Oryctolagus cuniculus: one gene and its partner. The protein of the gene in region 1 purifies or fractionates together with the protein of each later gene. This does not show direct contact. Links are inferred from orthologs where the notes say so. Each region holds a gene or a part of one and is shown in the gene's direction. Other genes may lie near its edges.

Region 1 (6,986 bases):
AGACCAAGTTATCTGGTAGAATATCCCAGGGTTCCAGATGTGTCTGCTTCTTCCTGGCGTCCTTTACTTGGTTTGTTTACCGCCTGTATTTTCATAAACTGAAATTTATTTGGGCTATTAGATGTGTAGCACTTTGTAGGAGTCAGGTTATCCACTATTAGTGATGCTAAATTTGGTCGGTTTGTTAAGGTGGTTGACAGGAGCATCTTTTTCCAGGCAACTGGAAGTACTCTCTGGGGAAGCGATTAGGCATTGTGCAGACATCCCCACTTGAGACTGGGCATTGCAGAGGGGCACCTCCCTGGTTCTGTTGCTGTGTGCATCTGTTAGCAGGCCTTCTGCCGCGAAGAGCAGCTCTCTGGGCAGGCGTTGTGGTGCCACGGTTAGGCTGCCATCTGGGACACCCACATACTGCGCCACTTTTGATTCCAGCTTCCTGCTAATGCACATCGGGGAGGCAGCAGTGGTGGCTTAAATAGGTGGGTCCCTGCCACCCGTGTCGTCTGGGGCTCTTGGCTTCTGCCTGGCCCAGCCCCAGCTGTTGTGACCATTTGGGGAGTGAACCAGCAGATGGAAAATACTCTCTCCCTCTCCCTCTTTCCCTCTTTCCCTCTCCCTCTCCCTCTCCCTCTCCCTCTCCCTCTCCCTCTCCCTCTCCCTCTCTCTCTCTCTCTCTAACTCTGCCTTTCAAATAAGCCAAATGGTTTTTTAAAAGTTCAAACATTTATAACAACCCTTCAAAATTAGACCTTCAAATAGAATAAGATATCTAAGTTGAATGTGAAAGTTTGAAGGATATCCAGGATTTTTGAATTTGTGACTTTAATATTTCAAGTATCAATGTTTCAACTAGACTAAAATTCAGATATTTCTATGCATAAAAAGTGCTTTTAGATGGGAAGATAAGAATACTCATTGTCAGTGGCAGTGTTCTGCTTTGCCTGTCTTCCAAGCGTGCTGACCCTAGTTACTCGAGGTCTGTGACTGGCAGGATGCTACGGTTTGTGGCACTGCTGCTGGTATGACTGGCTTATCCTCTGGGCCAGTTCTCCAGCTCTTCTGTCCAACTTCAAGTAGAGGGGACCTGCTTTAGTGACTGCTTGTACTGTAGAACGTGGCTTCACTGGTCGTGTTTTACTTCTCGGAGCTTTGTAGAAATTAGTCCTTTTTTATAGTTTCTTTATAAAAAATGATTTACTTATTGGAATCAGAGTTAGAGAGAGAGAGGGAGGGAGGGAGAACCCAAAAAAGAGAGAGCGCTTCCATCTCCTGGTTCACTCCTCAAATGGCCATGACAGCCAGTGCTGGGCCAGGCTGAAGCCAGGAGCCAGGAGCCTCATCGGGGTCTCCCATGTGGGTGACAGGCACTGCCACTCTCCCCTGTTTTCTCAGGCACATCAGGAGGGAGCTGAATTGGATGGAGCCAGAGCAGCCAGGTGTGGAACTGGTGCCCGCAGGGGATGCCGGCATCGCAGGCAGGAGCTTAACCTGCTACACCACAAGGCTGGCTTTTTTTTTTTTTAAGGATTTACTCATTTATTTATTTTAAAGTCAGAGTTATACAAAGCAGGAGAGGCCGAGAGAGAGAGAGAGGCCCTCCATCTGCTGGTTCACTTCCCAAATGGCCGCAATGGCCAGAGCTGCACCAATCTGAAGCCAGGAGCCAGGAACTTCCTCCGGGTCTCCCATGCGGGTGCAGGGGCCCAAGGACTTGGGCCATCCTCCACTGCTTTCCCAGGTCACAGCAGAGAGCTGGATCGGAAGTGGAGCAGCTGGGATACAAACCGGTGCCCATATAGGATGCTGGCACTGCAAGTGGCGGCTTTACCCGCTACGCCACAGCACCGGCCCCAATACTGGCTTTGAAATTAGTATATGTGGGGTTTTGTTAAGTCAGAAATACTTGTTTAGATGATAGAAACCACATTTGAAGTGTCTTAACCTTAGCTATATGGTGACTTTAGTGAACCTGAATTGATTTTTTTTATTTTTTATTTTTTGAAGTGGTAACCTTTTTCTTTTTTTCTAGAAAGAGAGCTCCCATGTGCTGGTTCTCTTCCCAGATGTCCACAAGAGCCAGTACTGGGCTGTAGCCAAAACTTGGAGTCAGAAACTCAATCCACATCTCCCATTTGGGTGGCAGTTCCCAGTCACTGAGCTGTGGCTGCGGCCTCCCAGGACAGGAAGCTGGACTCAGGAGCTGGGGATCAAAGCTAGATGCTCCGTGTGAGACATGGGAGTCTCAACCGTGAGGCCAGGCATCCTCCTCAGGCCTTTCAGTTTCCTCATTTCTTTGGAAACGTCTTTCTTTTCTTGAACATCATTGGAGCTATAGCTAGTAGTCATCCTCCAATCAGATTTGAGTGGTTAACATTCTGTGCTGGAATGTGTCTGTTCTTTCCGTTAACTGACTTTTTATGGTTTTGAAAAAGCAGTACATATCTTTTCTACTTAGTTCAAACCAAAAAGCAATTATTTGGTTAGAAATGAAGTCCGTTGGCTTAAAGAATGTCAAGGCTTGTGGGTCAAAGAGCTCTGTTCGCCTAGAAGGTCAGCCGTGCTCCTTAGGCCAGAGCAGAAGGAAGGTCAAGCTTATGGATGAGCGGTCGTATACTCTGTCCATTGGCAATGGAGACTACTTTTGGACAGATAAAGACACGCTGTGGAATTATGTGCAGTCTCTGTCTGGTAAGAAGTGAGCAGTTACAAATAATGGACATTGAAAAAACATTCTAAAACTGACTACAAAAATGAATACTCTTAAAAAAAAAAAAAACTTGAGAAGCATAGATAAGCAAACATAATTTTTATCTTGGGTGGCTGTTTAGCGTGGTGGTTGGGATGCCACCCGGAAGCCCACATCCCTCACTGGAGTGCCTGGGTTCACGTCCCGGCTGCTGCTGACCCAGCTTCCTGCTGAGGCACACTCTGGGAGTAGCAGATGCTGGCTCAAGTGCGTGGATTCCTGCTGCCCAAATGGGAGACCCGGGTTGAGATCCCAGCTCCTGGCTTCAGCCTGGCCCAGCCCTGGGCGTTGTGAACATTTTGGTTGTGAGCCAGTGGATGAGAGCTCTCTCTGCCTCTCAAAGAAATATTTTTTTTTTTTAAGATTTAGTTATTTAGGCCGGCGCCATGGCTCACTAGGCTAATCCTCTGCCTGTGGCGCCAGCACACCAGGTTCTAGTCCCGGTTGGGGCGCCAGATTCTGTCCCGGTTGCCCCTCTTCCAGGCCAGCTCTCTGCTGTGGCCAGGGAGTGCAGTGGAGGATGGCCCAAGTGCTTGGGCCCTGCACCCCACGGGAGACCAGGAGAAGCACCTGGCTCCTGCCTTCGGATCAGCAAAGTGCTGGTGGCCGCAGCGTGCTGGCTGCGGTGGCTGTTGGAGGGTGAACCAACGGCAAAAGGAAGACTCTCTCTCTCTCTCACTGTCCACTCTGCCTGTCAAAAATAAAAAAAAATTATTTATTTACTTGAAAATCAGAATTACACAGAGAGAGAACTAGAGGCAGAGGGAAAGAGAGGTTTTGCATCCGCTGGTTCACTCCCCAGATGGCTGCAACACCTGGAGCTGCGCCAATCCAAAGCCGGGAGCCGGGAGCTTCTTCTGGGTCTCCCAAATGGGTGCAGGGTCCCAAGGACCTGGGCCATCTTCTACTGTTTTCCCAGGCCACAGCAGAGAGCTGGATTCAAATTGGAACAGCTGGGACTCGAACCTGTGCCCATTTGGGATGCCGGCACTGCAGGTGGCAACTTTACCCGCTACGCCACAGCTACGCTGACCCCTAAGAAATATTTTTAAATTCGTTGTTTAAAATTTTATGGTGAGTATTTGTGGAATGGGAGATTTTGCTTCGATCTAAAACTTATACCTTGCCTTTTTTTTTTTTTTTTTTTTTCAGTTAATGTATTTATCTGAAAGAGTTACAGAAAGAGAAAGAGATGTTCCATCTGCTGGTTCACTGCCCAAATGGCCAAGGAGCCTGGAACTCCATCCAGGTCTCCCATGTGGGTTGCAGGATTCCAACTCTCAGGCCGTCACCCGCTGCCTTTCCCAGCACGTTAGCAGTGAATTGGATTGGAAATACAGCAGACAGGTCTTGAAACTGCTGCTCATTTAGGATGCTGGCATCGCTGGCGGAAGCTTAAACCCATTGCTCCGCAGTGCAGGCCCCATGAACACTGATTTATCTGCTAACTTTATCAGAATTAACATTTCTGGGACTGGTGTTGTGCCAGAACTGGTCAAGCAGCCACTTACAGCACTAGTATCCCACATGAGTGTAGGTTTGAGTACTGGCTGCCCCACTTTTGATCCTGCTCCCCCCCACCCCATGCACCTGGAAAAGCTACCCTTTTGTGGCCATTTGGAGAGTGAACCAGCAATGGAAGATCTTGCTCTCTTGCTCTCTCCTCCTCCCCTCCCCCTTCTTCTCTCCCTCCCTAACTCAGCCTTTCAAATAATCTTTTCTAAAAAAGAAAGAAGTAACATTTCACAGAATGCCCTTCTTATAGGGCAGATAAGTTCTTAGATTGATAGGTTCTCAAAAGCAGATTATTGTTAGTATAAATGTGATTTGAGAAGGGTGTAGACATTTCACAGTAATCTAAGGCGGTCTGTAATCAAGTTACACTAAATTAACTTCATTGTCAATTTGTGTGGTTAAAGATTTATTTATTTATTTAAAAGTCAGTTACAAAGAGAAAGATGGAGAGAGAAAGACCTTCCCTCCATTGGTTCACTGCCCAAATGGCCGCACCAGCCAGAGCTGGGCCAGTCCAAAGCCAGGAGCCAGGACCTTCTTCTGGGTCTCCCACATGGGTTCAGGGACCCCAACACTTCAGCCATTCTCCGCTGCTTTTCCCAGGCACGTTAGAAGGAAGCTGGATCGGAAGTAGAACAGCCGGGACCTGAACTAACGCCTTTACGGGTGCTGGTGTTGCAGGCAGCAAAGCACAACGCCGGCCCCCACTTTGTGTGTTTAAAGTACAGACATAAGTGTATTTAAAAAAATAACCATAGGAAGCCTTAGTTGTCCTGGCAGAGGCAGAGGGAAAGGGAGCTGGTGGTTATTTAGCGTTTCCAGCTAAAGACAGGCCAAGAATAGACTGTACCGACTGAGTGACAGGTTCCAAGGCGTGTGCCCGTTTCCTTACACCATACTGGCTCTTGAAAGAGGAAGGCTGGGAACCCCCGCTGGCTGCTGGCACATCTTAGGCCAGCGGTTCCTAGTTAGCTCTTCTGACCGCTGATTCTTCGAGATGCTCCTGGAATGTGGGTTTCTAGGCAGTTACCAAAAAATGCCCAGACTGGGGCAGGCATTTGGCCTAGCAGTTAAGACACTGCTTGGGACCCTCGTATCTCATAGCAGAATGCCTGGATTTGCCCGGCTCCTCTCCAGACCCCGGATGTGCACCCTAGTGGGAGCAGATGTCACCCCTGTGGGAGACCTGGATTGGGTTCTTGGCTTCTGACTTCTGCTTGGCCCAGCCTCTCCCGCATCTGTTGTGGGAATCTGGGGAATGAACCAGTGCAGTGGGTCAGAGCCCTCTGATAAGATTGTAAGTGTTACAGTTTGGTGGGTTCTCACACTCTGAGCACACCACTGGATCTTTAGCAGACTCCGCTAGCTTCCTCAAGGTAGCTGCTTATCTGCCTTATGTTAGTTTTGGGCTGGCATTTAAAAATTTTATTTTTAATTTTTTAATGTTTGTTTACTTTCATCTACTTGAAAGAGTGTCAGAGAGAGATCTAGTGATTGATATTCCATTGCTGGTTCGCTCCCCAAATACCCATAACAGCTGGTGCTGTGGCAGGCCAAAGCTAGAAGCCCAGAACTCCATTCAGGTCTCCCACGTGAGTGCAGGGGCCCAAGGACTTAGGCCATCCTCCACTGCTTTCCCAGGCCACAGCAGAGAGCTGGATAAGAAGAGGAGCAGCCGGGACTGGAACTCGGCGCCCATATGAAGTGGTAGGATTATTGACGCGGAGAGCAAATTAGTGGGAGCTAGGAGTAAGGAGGAGGGGAGGAAGTGTGTGTAGCTGTAAAGTAAAAAAGAGAGCATCCCGGAGTTGATGGCTGTGTGCGTCTTGACTGTCCCTGTGTGCGTCTTGACTGTCCCTGTGTACGTCTTGACTATCCCAGTGTGCGTCTTGACTGTCCCTGTGTACGTCTTGACTATCCCAGTGTGCGTCTTGACTGTCCCTGTGTGCGTCTTGACTGTCCCTGTGTGCGTCTTGACTGTCCCAGTGTGCGTCTTGACTGTCCCTGTGTGCGTCTTGACTGTCCCTGTGCGTTCGGGCTGTGAGATGGTCCTCTGATGTTGGGGAAATCGGGTGAGGAAACGAGGGATCTCTCTGTGTATTGTCTGCAACTGTATGTGACTCTGTGATTATCTTACAACTGAAAGTTTAATGTAAAAAAAGGTTAATCCAAGTGAGGAAAATACAGATGTTCATTGTATAGCCTTGCAGCTTTCCCATACGTATGAAAATTTTCAACATTGAAAGTTTGGGGCATGAATAAAAGGGATTTTTAAAATTATAGAAAAATAGATTGAAGGTTCTTTTTTAAGTCAAAAGAAGTTTTCTAAGTGGGAAAAATACTTATAAATATTGAAGAAAATAGCTTTTTTTTAAAGATTTATTTATGGGGCTGGCACTGTGGCGTAGTGGATAAAGCTGCTGCCTGCATCCCGTGTGGATGCCAGTTCAAGACCTAACTGTTGTACTTCCGATCCAGATCTCTGTTTCTTAAAAAAAAAAAAAAAAAATTATTTATTTATTTGAAAAAATTACAGAGAGGGAGGGACAGAAAGATCTTCCACCACTGGTTCACTCCCCAGTTGGCCATAATGGCTGGGGCTGGGCCAATCCAAAGCTAGGAACCAGGAGCTTCTTCTAGATCTCACACGTGGGTGCAGGGACCCTAGGACTTGGGCCATCCTCCGCTGCTTTCCCAGGCCTTAGCAGAGATCTGGAGCAGAAGT
Region 2 (7,263 bases), on another chromosome or scaffold:
TAGCCTCTGAACACACCCACGCCAGGCGTCTGCCGCTTCCCTCCCTCTCACTCCCGTTCCTCGGTCACTGAGTGCAGCGTCCGTGTCTGCAGGGACTGGGAGATGTTGCAGGAAAACCTGCCCTGCAAGAGTCCAGAGCCTCGTCCGGGCTGGGGGACGCGGGGACAGCCACCTCCCCGCCTGCCTCTTCCCCTCGAAGCTCCGATGACTGAGCCATGACCGAGGCTGCCTGGCTTGGGAAGAGGCCGCCGGACACCGGCTTGGCCTCCCTGCAGCCTCTGAAGCCACAGAGGGTTTGGCCTCGGTCTGCCACTGCCGCCTGTGTGAGCCTGGGCAAATCACTTCAAGCTCGGACTCCGGTGGACCGGGGCTGTCACCCCCAGCAAGGCCTCCACCACCCACAGCCGCCGGCGCAGGTGCTGTGCCGGTGCTGTCTCCGGGGAAGACAGCTCCCCCCAGGGGAGCAGCAGCACTGGAACCCAGGGCTCAGGGCCTTTGCGGACGGAGCGGACGGAGCGTTTATAATCTGAACTCTGTCCCTCTGTGCCTCGGCTCCCCTGCTGGGAAAGCAGCCTCACACCTGCAGCAGCTCTAGCAGCGGGCTCTGCTAGAGGTGGGGGCCACGCCGCCGCGCCCAGGGCTCTGGCTCTGACCGGGGGAATGTTCTGTCTTTCGCAGATGGAGAAAGATGAGACTGTGAGTGACTGCTCCCCACACATAGCCAACATCGGGCGCCTGGTAGAGGTGAGTGGGCCCCGCGGGCTCCGGGCTCCTGTGTTCCCCGCAGCCTGGGCCGTCTCCAGGGAGGCTGGGAGCCGCTTCGCCGGCGGCGCACAGCTTGTGTTTGCCTTGGCCTCCTGGCATCTCCCCCACGCCTGCGAGACGTGCTCCCGGGGTGACTGCCCAGCCCTTGGCTCCGCGCCGATCGAGTGGGTAGACCCCTGGAGCATTCAAGGGCTGGAGGGGCTCCCGCGCCAGTGCCGCAGGCTTCCTCCCTCTGGGAGGAGGGGTCTCAGGACTGCTCGCCGTATCGGCGGGAGGGCTGAGGGATGGTGTGGTTCTGACCAGCTCCAAGGAACGCTGGGACCTGGCCACCAGGCCTGAGGTCGGGGACACACTCAGAGCACAGAGGGCAGGGGCGGCCTTGCAGCCAGGGGCTTGGCCCTGGCTGTGTCCCCGTAGGGAGAGAGGCTGGGCTGGGCCAGGGCGGCCCTGGCTCCTTGGTTGCCTCCATGGTGACTGACTCCCTTCCCAGGACATGGAAAATAAAATCCGAAGTACGCTGAATGAGATCTACTTTGGGAAAACGAAGGACATCGTCAACGGGCTGAGGTAACGTACCCAGAACTCACACTCCAGAACCAGGAGGGCCTGCGCGCTCACAGCTCCGCGGGCTCGGGCTTCGGCCTCCTCGTTGTAAGAGGGAGCTGGGGGCCGAGATGCCCCGCAGGTGTTGGAAGGGAAGCCCTGGGCGGCCTTCGTGCTCTGAACGCCCTCACAGCCGACTCCACGTGGGACGGAGCTCCTGCGCCCGCCCCTCGGGCTGCCTCCACTCCGTCCCCAGCTGCGCAGCCCCCTTAGGCCCTGCGAGGGCGAGAGACCACTGAGCTCTGGGCGGACAGAGCCAGAGCCGAGGTCCTCACCTGCCCCTCCCACCCTGCTCGGGTCCTTGGGGTCCGTAGAGGACTGAGCAGGAGGCAGAGCCTGCATGGGGGCATGAGAGGTGGCTGTCAGTGCAGCGAGCTGGCCTTGCAGCCCAGAGGCTGCGTCTCCTCCGAGCCCTGTTCCCCACCGGGTCCAGGAGGCAGGGGGCTGCACGGGGGGTGAGATGCTGAGGTCTGACGTGTTCTCCACCGTGTGTGGCCAAGGGCTCTGCTGTGCCGTTGCTGGCCACCCCCCTTGTCCCTATCCAGTGGTCCCAGGCCAGCTGAGCCACTGCGGAGCCGCCCACGGTGGGTCTGTCTGGGACACAGGTTCCAGCCAGCTGCCCTCTGGTTCCCCTTGGCCCTTCTCATCCTGACTTCCTGGGCCAGAGCCCAGAGACCCCAGCGTCGGGCCCTCCGCCTCCGACCAGACCCTCTCCCACCCCGCCAACCCTCTCCTCCAGCGGCGGTGGTGCCTGCGCTCACCGGCAGCGGGGACGCCACGCAGTCACCGTCTCGGGCTGGCAGCCTCCGGGTGCACCCAGCCCCCACGCCCTGCCTGCTTCTCACCTCTGAACGCTCTCTGTAGATCTATTGACGCTATCCCTGACAACCAAAAGTTTAAGCAGCTGCAGAGGGAGCTTTCCCAAGTGCTGACCCAGCGCCAGATCTACATCCAGCCTGATAATTGAGCCGATCCAGGTACCCTGCCTGCCAGGCGTGACAGCTGCCCACTAAACAGCACTCACCAACCGCCGGGCCCTGCGCGCCCAGTTAAACCTCCACTAACCCCCGTGCGCTCTTGGCTGCTGGGCGGCCGTATAACATGTTGCCTTGGCCCGCGTAACGGACACGTTCACGTGTGTGGTGTGTGCTGTGCACTGAGCGAGGTCCCGGGGAGACGGGTGGTTTCAGCTTTGGCTCCAGAAGGAGCCCAGGCCAGGGAACTAACGCGGGCTCTGTCGGAGGCCGCTGTGTGCACGCACAGCTGCCCTCTGCTCCCCACATGCCTCGGGGTGGCCTTAGGATCTCCCCCGCAGCCACACACACCCTGCCCCGTGGCACAGGGACTGAGGCAGCTGGCTCGGGGGACCCCACTCTCCGAGGCTCAGGACAAGCGTGGGGGGAGCCGTCGTGCCCCTGACCAGATGCTGCTGCTCCAGACCGGCTGCTGCTGGAGCGGCCTGGTGCCGGGGCCGTGCCGATGGCGGAGCTGGAGCCTGTGCCGGGGCCGTGCCGATGGCGGAGCTGGAGCCTGTGCCGGGGCCGTGCCGATGGCGGAGCTGGAGCCTGTGACAGACACGGACGGATGAGGGCGCTCGGCGCTCTTGCGGAGGGCGGGGGCTGTTAGAATGAGGCGTTTGGTGACCCAGCCAGCAGGGCCGCCGAGCCCCCAGGCACAGGGTCCGAGGCCCGAGGCCCAGCCCAGAAGAGCTGCTGGGAAGTCTGGGGGTGGCGGTGCTTACTAAGCAGCCGGGGCTGCCGCCCTTGCACGGTTGCGGGATCTCACGGCCAGGGCGTCTCAGCCGCCAGCCTCGCCTTGCGGCGCTCGGGCAGCCAGCAGGGGCCGTGGTCTTCCTATGTGGAGTGCGGCCGTGACCCTCCCAGTGACGGCCCTGCTCCTTCGGCCTCCAGCTGCTCCAAGCTCACGTCCACAGCTCTAACCTGGTTCTGACTCTGGGCTTGGTCCTTGCGGGGCGGGGCTGGCAGGACCCAGCGCCGCGTCCTGTCTCCCCAGGAGAGCCAGCTGTGCCGGGCGAGGGAGCCGCTGCTCTCTGGTCACGCCCTCCGACGTGAGCTCAGTGAGGCCCGCAGAGCACTGCCCACGACTGGGCGCCTGGGAGCCACCACCCTGCCTTTGGCCGCTGCAGAACTCGGGGCAAAATCTGCCTCAGCTGGCGTTTCCCACGGGCGCTCCTCGGCCTGTGCTGACGGCTCGAGTCCTGTCTGTGCCCACTCTGGCGTCTCCAGGACTCGGTCCCCAAAATCCAGTCTCCTGGGCCCTGCTTCGCTCTGCTCTCCCCAGCACGCACACGTGGCGGGGACACCTGACCCTTCCTTTCCATGGTTTGCGTGGGTCTGACGTCAGACCTGAGGCTCTCACCGCACGGCCAGCCCAGCGTGGCGCCCAGCGGCCCCTGCACTGAGAAAGTTAGCCAGCCACTTTGCGCCTGGCCGGCCGTCTGTCCAGTGCGTGTGACAGGTCAGGGCCGTGCCGGGGGCGTTTCTCCAAGCTCCAGTTGCTCATCTGGGATGCGTGTGGGGGAGAGCACTCAGGTGGGTGACGCCCACGAACTGCAGCGTTCCCAGTCCCTTTAACCCCACCCCACCCCGCAAGCCTGGGGTTCGCCAGCGGGGGCCCAGGCCACCCTTTCCTCTGCCGCATTTGGAATCCTGGCAAGGTTTTTTCCGGGCCAAGCTGACAGCTGCTCACGGGCCGTGAACCCAGCATGCGCCACCGTGCAGCCGCTGGTTTCCGGAACACTCGCCAGGCGGCAGCCCCTGCCCCCTGTTCTCCGCAGGGCCGGGGCCGAGCCTCCTCCTGGGCCCCTCCTAGTCCCAGCAGCTGATTGGAAGCGGGGTCCTTGCTACGTTGTGCCTGGAAGCCTGGAGGCCACCATTGGGTTCCGCTAGCTGCGGTCATGGTCAGCCTGGCAGACACGAGCAACTGTCCCTGTTGGCTTCCCCTGAGCCGCGCCCCCTGCAGCAAATCCCAGGCTCCCGGTCCCCAGGCTGGGCCTGTGCTGACCTGGGAGAGGGGTGCCCGAGCCCACACCCCAGCACCTTGCCGGCCACGTCGGGGAGGCGCGAGCCCCACGGCCCCGTGCTCCTGCCACTCGGCCCGCTGTTGACGCCTTGTCTCCCTTGCAGGTCTGTGCAGACTTTTGCAGACAAATCTAAACAAGAAGCGCTTAAGAACGACCTGGTGGAGGCTTTGAAGAGAAAGCAGCAGAGCTAAGCCCCTGCTCCGCGCTAGCCGGACACGCCGCGCACTCTTTAGGTTCCTTTCCTAGAAAACTCGTTTTCTGCTCCCTGTCCCCGGCCCCTCCCTCCCCGACAGGCCCCTAACAACGCGCATCCTCGACCGCACAGCGCCATCTCCCCAATAAAGCCCAGTCACCGCCCTGCTCCGGCTCCGAGGCCTGCTTCCCACCGTTCCGCTGTCAGAACTCTGGTGTCTGCATAGAGCCCGCGAGGGCCCGGTCCGCCCCGCCCGCCCCCCCCTTAGGCATAAAGACGCTGTCCGTCAGCCCCTCCCCTCCCCCTTTTTGTTACATTGGTGTAAAAAATGTAAAACAAAAAAATTTTATGAAATAACTGTGGTGTGTGAGAGACAGAAGGAAACCTGGAGGTGCGACTCCAGTGCGTTTGGGAGTTGCTTGGGCGGGGGGCGGGGGACAGGGGCCAGCCCTGGGCGGAAGGAGAGGGGCTCAGCCGTCCTGTGCAGGCTTGCCCCTGTCCCTCGGAGGCCGCGGGGTGGGGGCGGGGCTGCTCTTCTGGCCAGGTGCTTTTCTGTCAATTTTTACGGAATGCAAAAGGAGTTTTTTGTTTTATTTTGTTTTTTTGTAAAGCTTAACAAAAAATATCTACATCTTATACTTGAGCCTCCATACTTAAAAAAAGGAAAAAAAGAACAAAAAAATTAAATAAAAAGAAACTGGGACGCAGTTAGCACTGGGTCTGCCGTCTTCTTTCTCGCACGCCTCCCTCGAAGGCCCGCGTGGCCTCAGCCGGGAGGGGGAGGGCTGACTCCACGGTGGAGACGCCCCGGCCGCTGAGCAGGTGCGGGGCTTGCCGGGGAGTGGGTTCCGGAGCCCTGGGCCTCCTTGCGCCCCGCCTTCCAGACCAGCCTGGTAGGGAAACGCGGGGCGGCTGTGGAGCGCCTGCGCAGGCCGGTCCTTGGGCACCCCCGTGCCTCCCCAGCCAGGTGCCGGCACGCCCCTTTCAAGTGGGAGAGTGGGAGGAAGCAGGCTGTGGGCTTGGGGAACCCGCAGAGCTACAGGATGGGCCTTTCTCCCCCCCCACAAACCCCAGGCCAGAAGGTCCTCGCCTGCTGCCCACAAGACCCTACCCCCACCCCGAGTGCAACACAGCACAGCACACGGGAGCTGGAACCACAGAGCCCTGCACTCGCGTCCTCTCCACCCTGGGGGGTTCCAGCAGCTCTTGCCACACAAGCGGAACAGATGGGCGACTGAGACGCTGCGATGCTGGCCTCGCTCTGGTCACCGCTGTGCACCGCACTGTGCCGAGGGCCTGTCGCTCACCTTTGTCAGGTGGCCAGAAGTCATACGTGAAACCTGGAAGTCGCAGCTGTGCTGTGCCAGGCTGGATCTTGCTCTGTCTTCTGGAATCTTCTGCAGGAGCCACCACTGCTAGTTTGGATGCTAGTGACTGGGGCTCTGATACTGGGTTTGCTGGATGGGAGGGAGTGAGTGGGGAGCCGTGGCCTGGCCAGTCCCTGCCCTACACACTCCCAGGCATGCTGGCTGGCAGGGCCCCTAGAGCATTCCAAGATATGGAGGGAGAGGCTGAGTACATGGCAGAGCAGTGGGGTGGGGGTGGAGTGGCCTGTGGTCTGTGGGCTGCAGGCGATGCGCTCCTGGGGTGGGCAGCTCGTCCCCCACCTCGCAGGTGCCCCTGGATGCCAGGTAGCAGAATGGGAGGCAGCCTGGGGGCGGGGGGCTCTGTGGGAGCCCAGCAGGCACCATGGGGCCAGAGCACTGCTGGCAGATGGCACAATCCGGGGCTCTGTCTCCCCGGCCCCTTTCACTGCCCACCTACCTCTGGGGTCCTCCCTGGCTTCCGCTGGACCCAGCTCCCAGAACCCTGTCTCCCGATCCCCGGCCGACCTCTGCCCTGTGCGGTGGGGCGGGCACTGTGGAGTAGTGCCAGCCTGCCGCCTCGGTGCAGTGACCCCAGCCGGGCCCGTGAAGATGCACTCCGGCCGGTCACAGCGGCCGAGCTCTCTTCCTCCTGCGAGCTTCCTCCACGCTGGCTAGCGTGTGGGGAACCTGGCGTCCCCCTGCCCATAACCTGCAAACCCTATAAAGGCTGGAAGATGAACCCTGGCCAGCCCCGGCCAAAGCCAGGTAGGCAGGGGGCTGGGAGCTGCCCCACCCGCTCCACCACCCCTCACTGCTCTCAGCTTTGTGCCCCGCAGGGCCCTCCTGCCCGCGAGGGAGTTCCCAGGAAGGCCCTGGCCCCCGCCTGCAGCAGGCAGTCTGTTGGGGCCCAAGAACAGTTCAGGGCCGAGCCCTGCCCCCGCTGCCCCCTCCCCCTGTAGGTCCCACCCATCCTGCTGGCCGCCACCTTCTCCAGGAAGGTCTCCCTGGTTGTCTCTTCAGCTTTGGAGCTCAGCCCCGGTGGCTGCGCCTCTGTGGGGTGGGGAATCTTTTTTTCTGCCAAGGGCCATTTGGATATTTAGAACATCCTCCGCGGGCTGTACGAACTGAACTTAGAAGGTAGCTGCTATTGATTTATTGGATTCCGAGCCCTGTCTGCGGTTCTCTTGGCAGGGCCAGACCACTAGACCCTGCGGGCCTGACGGGACCCCGGGGCCGTTTTCAGGTCGTCTGACGCTGCGGTACCGTCACCCCATTTCACAGATGAGGTAACG

The links.
Region 2: the proteins of CNOT10 (region 1) and CAPZB purify together in Homo sapiens (co-immunoprecipitation; 3 studies listed by BioGRID and IntAct, with this or other methods). This does not show direct contact. The link is inferred for Oryctolagus cuniculus from reciprocal best matches to the Homo sapiens genes CNOT10 and CAPZB.

The regions. Positions count from the first base shown.
Region 1 is NC_091435.1:169,315,824-169,322,809, forward strand, and holds the start of CNOT10 (CCR4-NOT transcription complex subunit 10), read left to right. Parts: upstream 1-2,397; 5' UTR 2,398-2,417; coding exon 2,418-2,688; intron 2,689-6,986. UniProt on the Homo sapiens protein: Component of the CCR4-NOT complex which is one of the major cellular mRNA deadenylases and is linked to various cellular processes including bulk mRNA degradation, miRNA-mediated repression, translational repression during translational initiation and general transcription regulation.
Region 2 is NC_091438.1:151,255,503-151,262,765, forward strand, and holds the end of CAPZB (F-actin-capping protein subunit beta), read left to right. Parts: intron 1-678; coding exon 679-744; intron 745-1,255; coding exon 1,256-1,332; intron 1,333-2,232; coding exon 2,233-2,335; 3' UTR 2,336-2,345; intron 2,346-4,514; coding exon of another isoform or gene 4,515-4,602; 3' UTR 4,603-5,315; downstream 5,316-7,263. UniProt on the Homo sapiens protein: F-actin-capping proteins bind in a Ca(2+)-independent manner to the fast growing ends of actin filaments (barbed end) thereby blocking the exchange of subunits at these ends.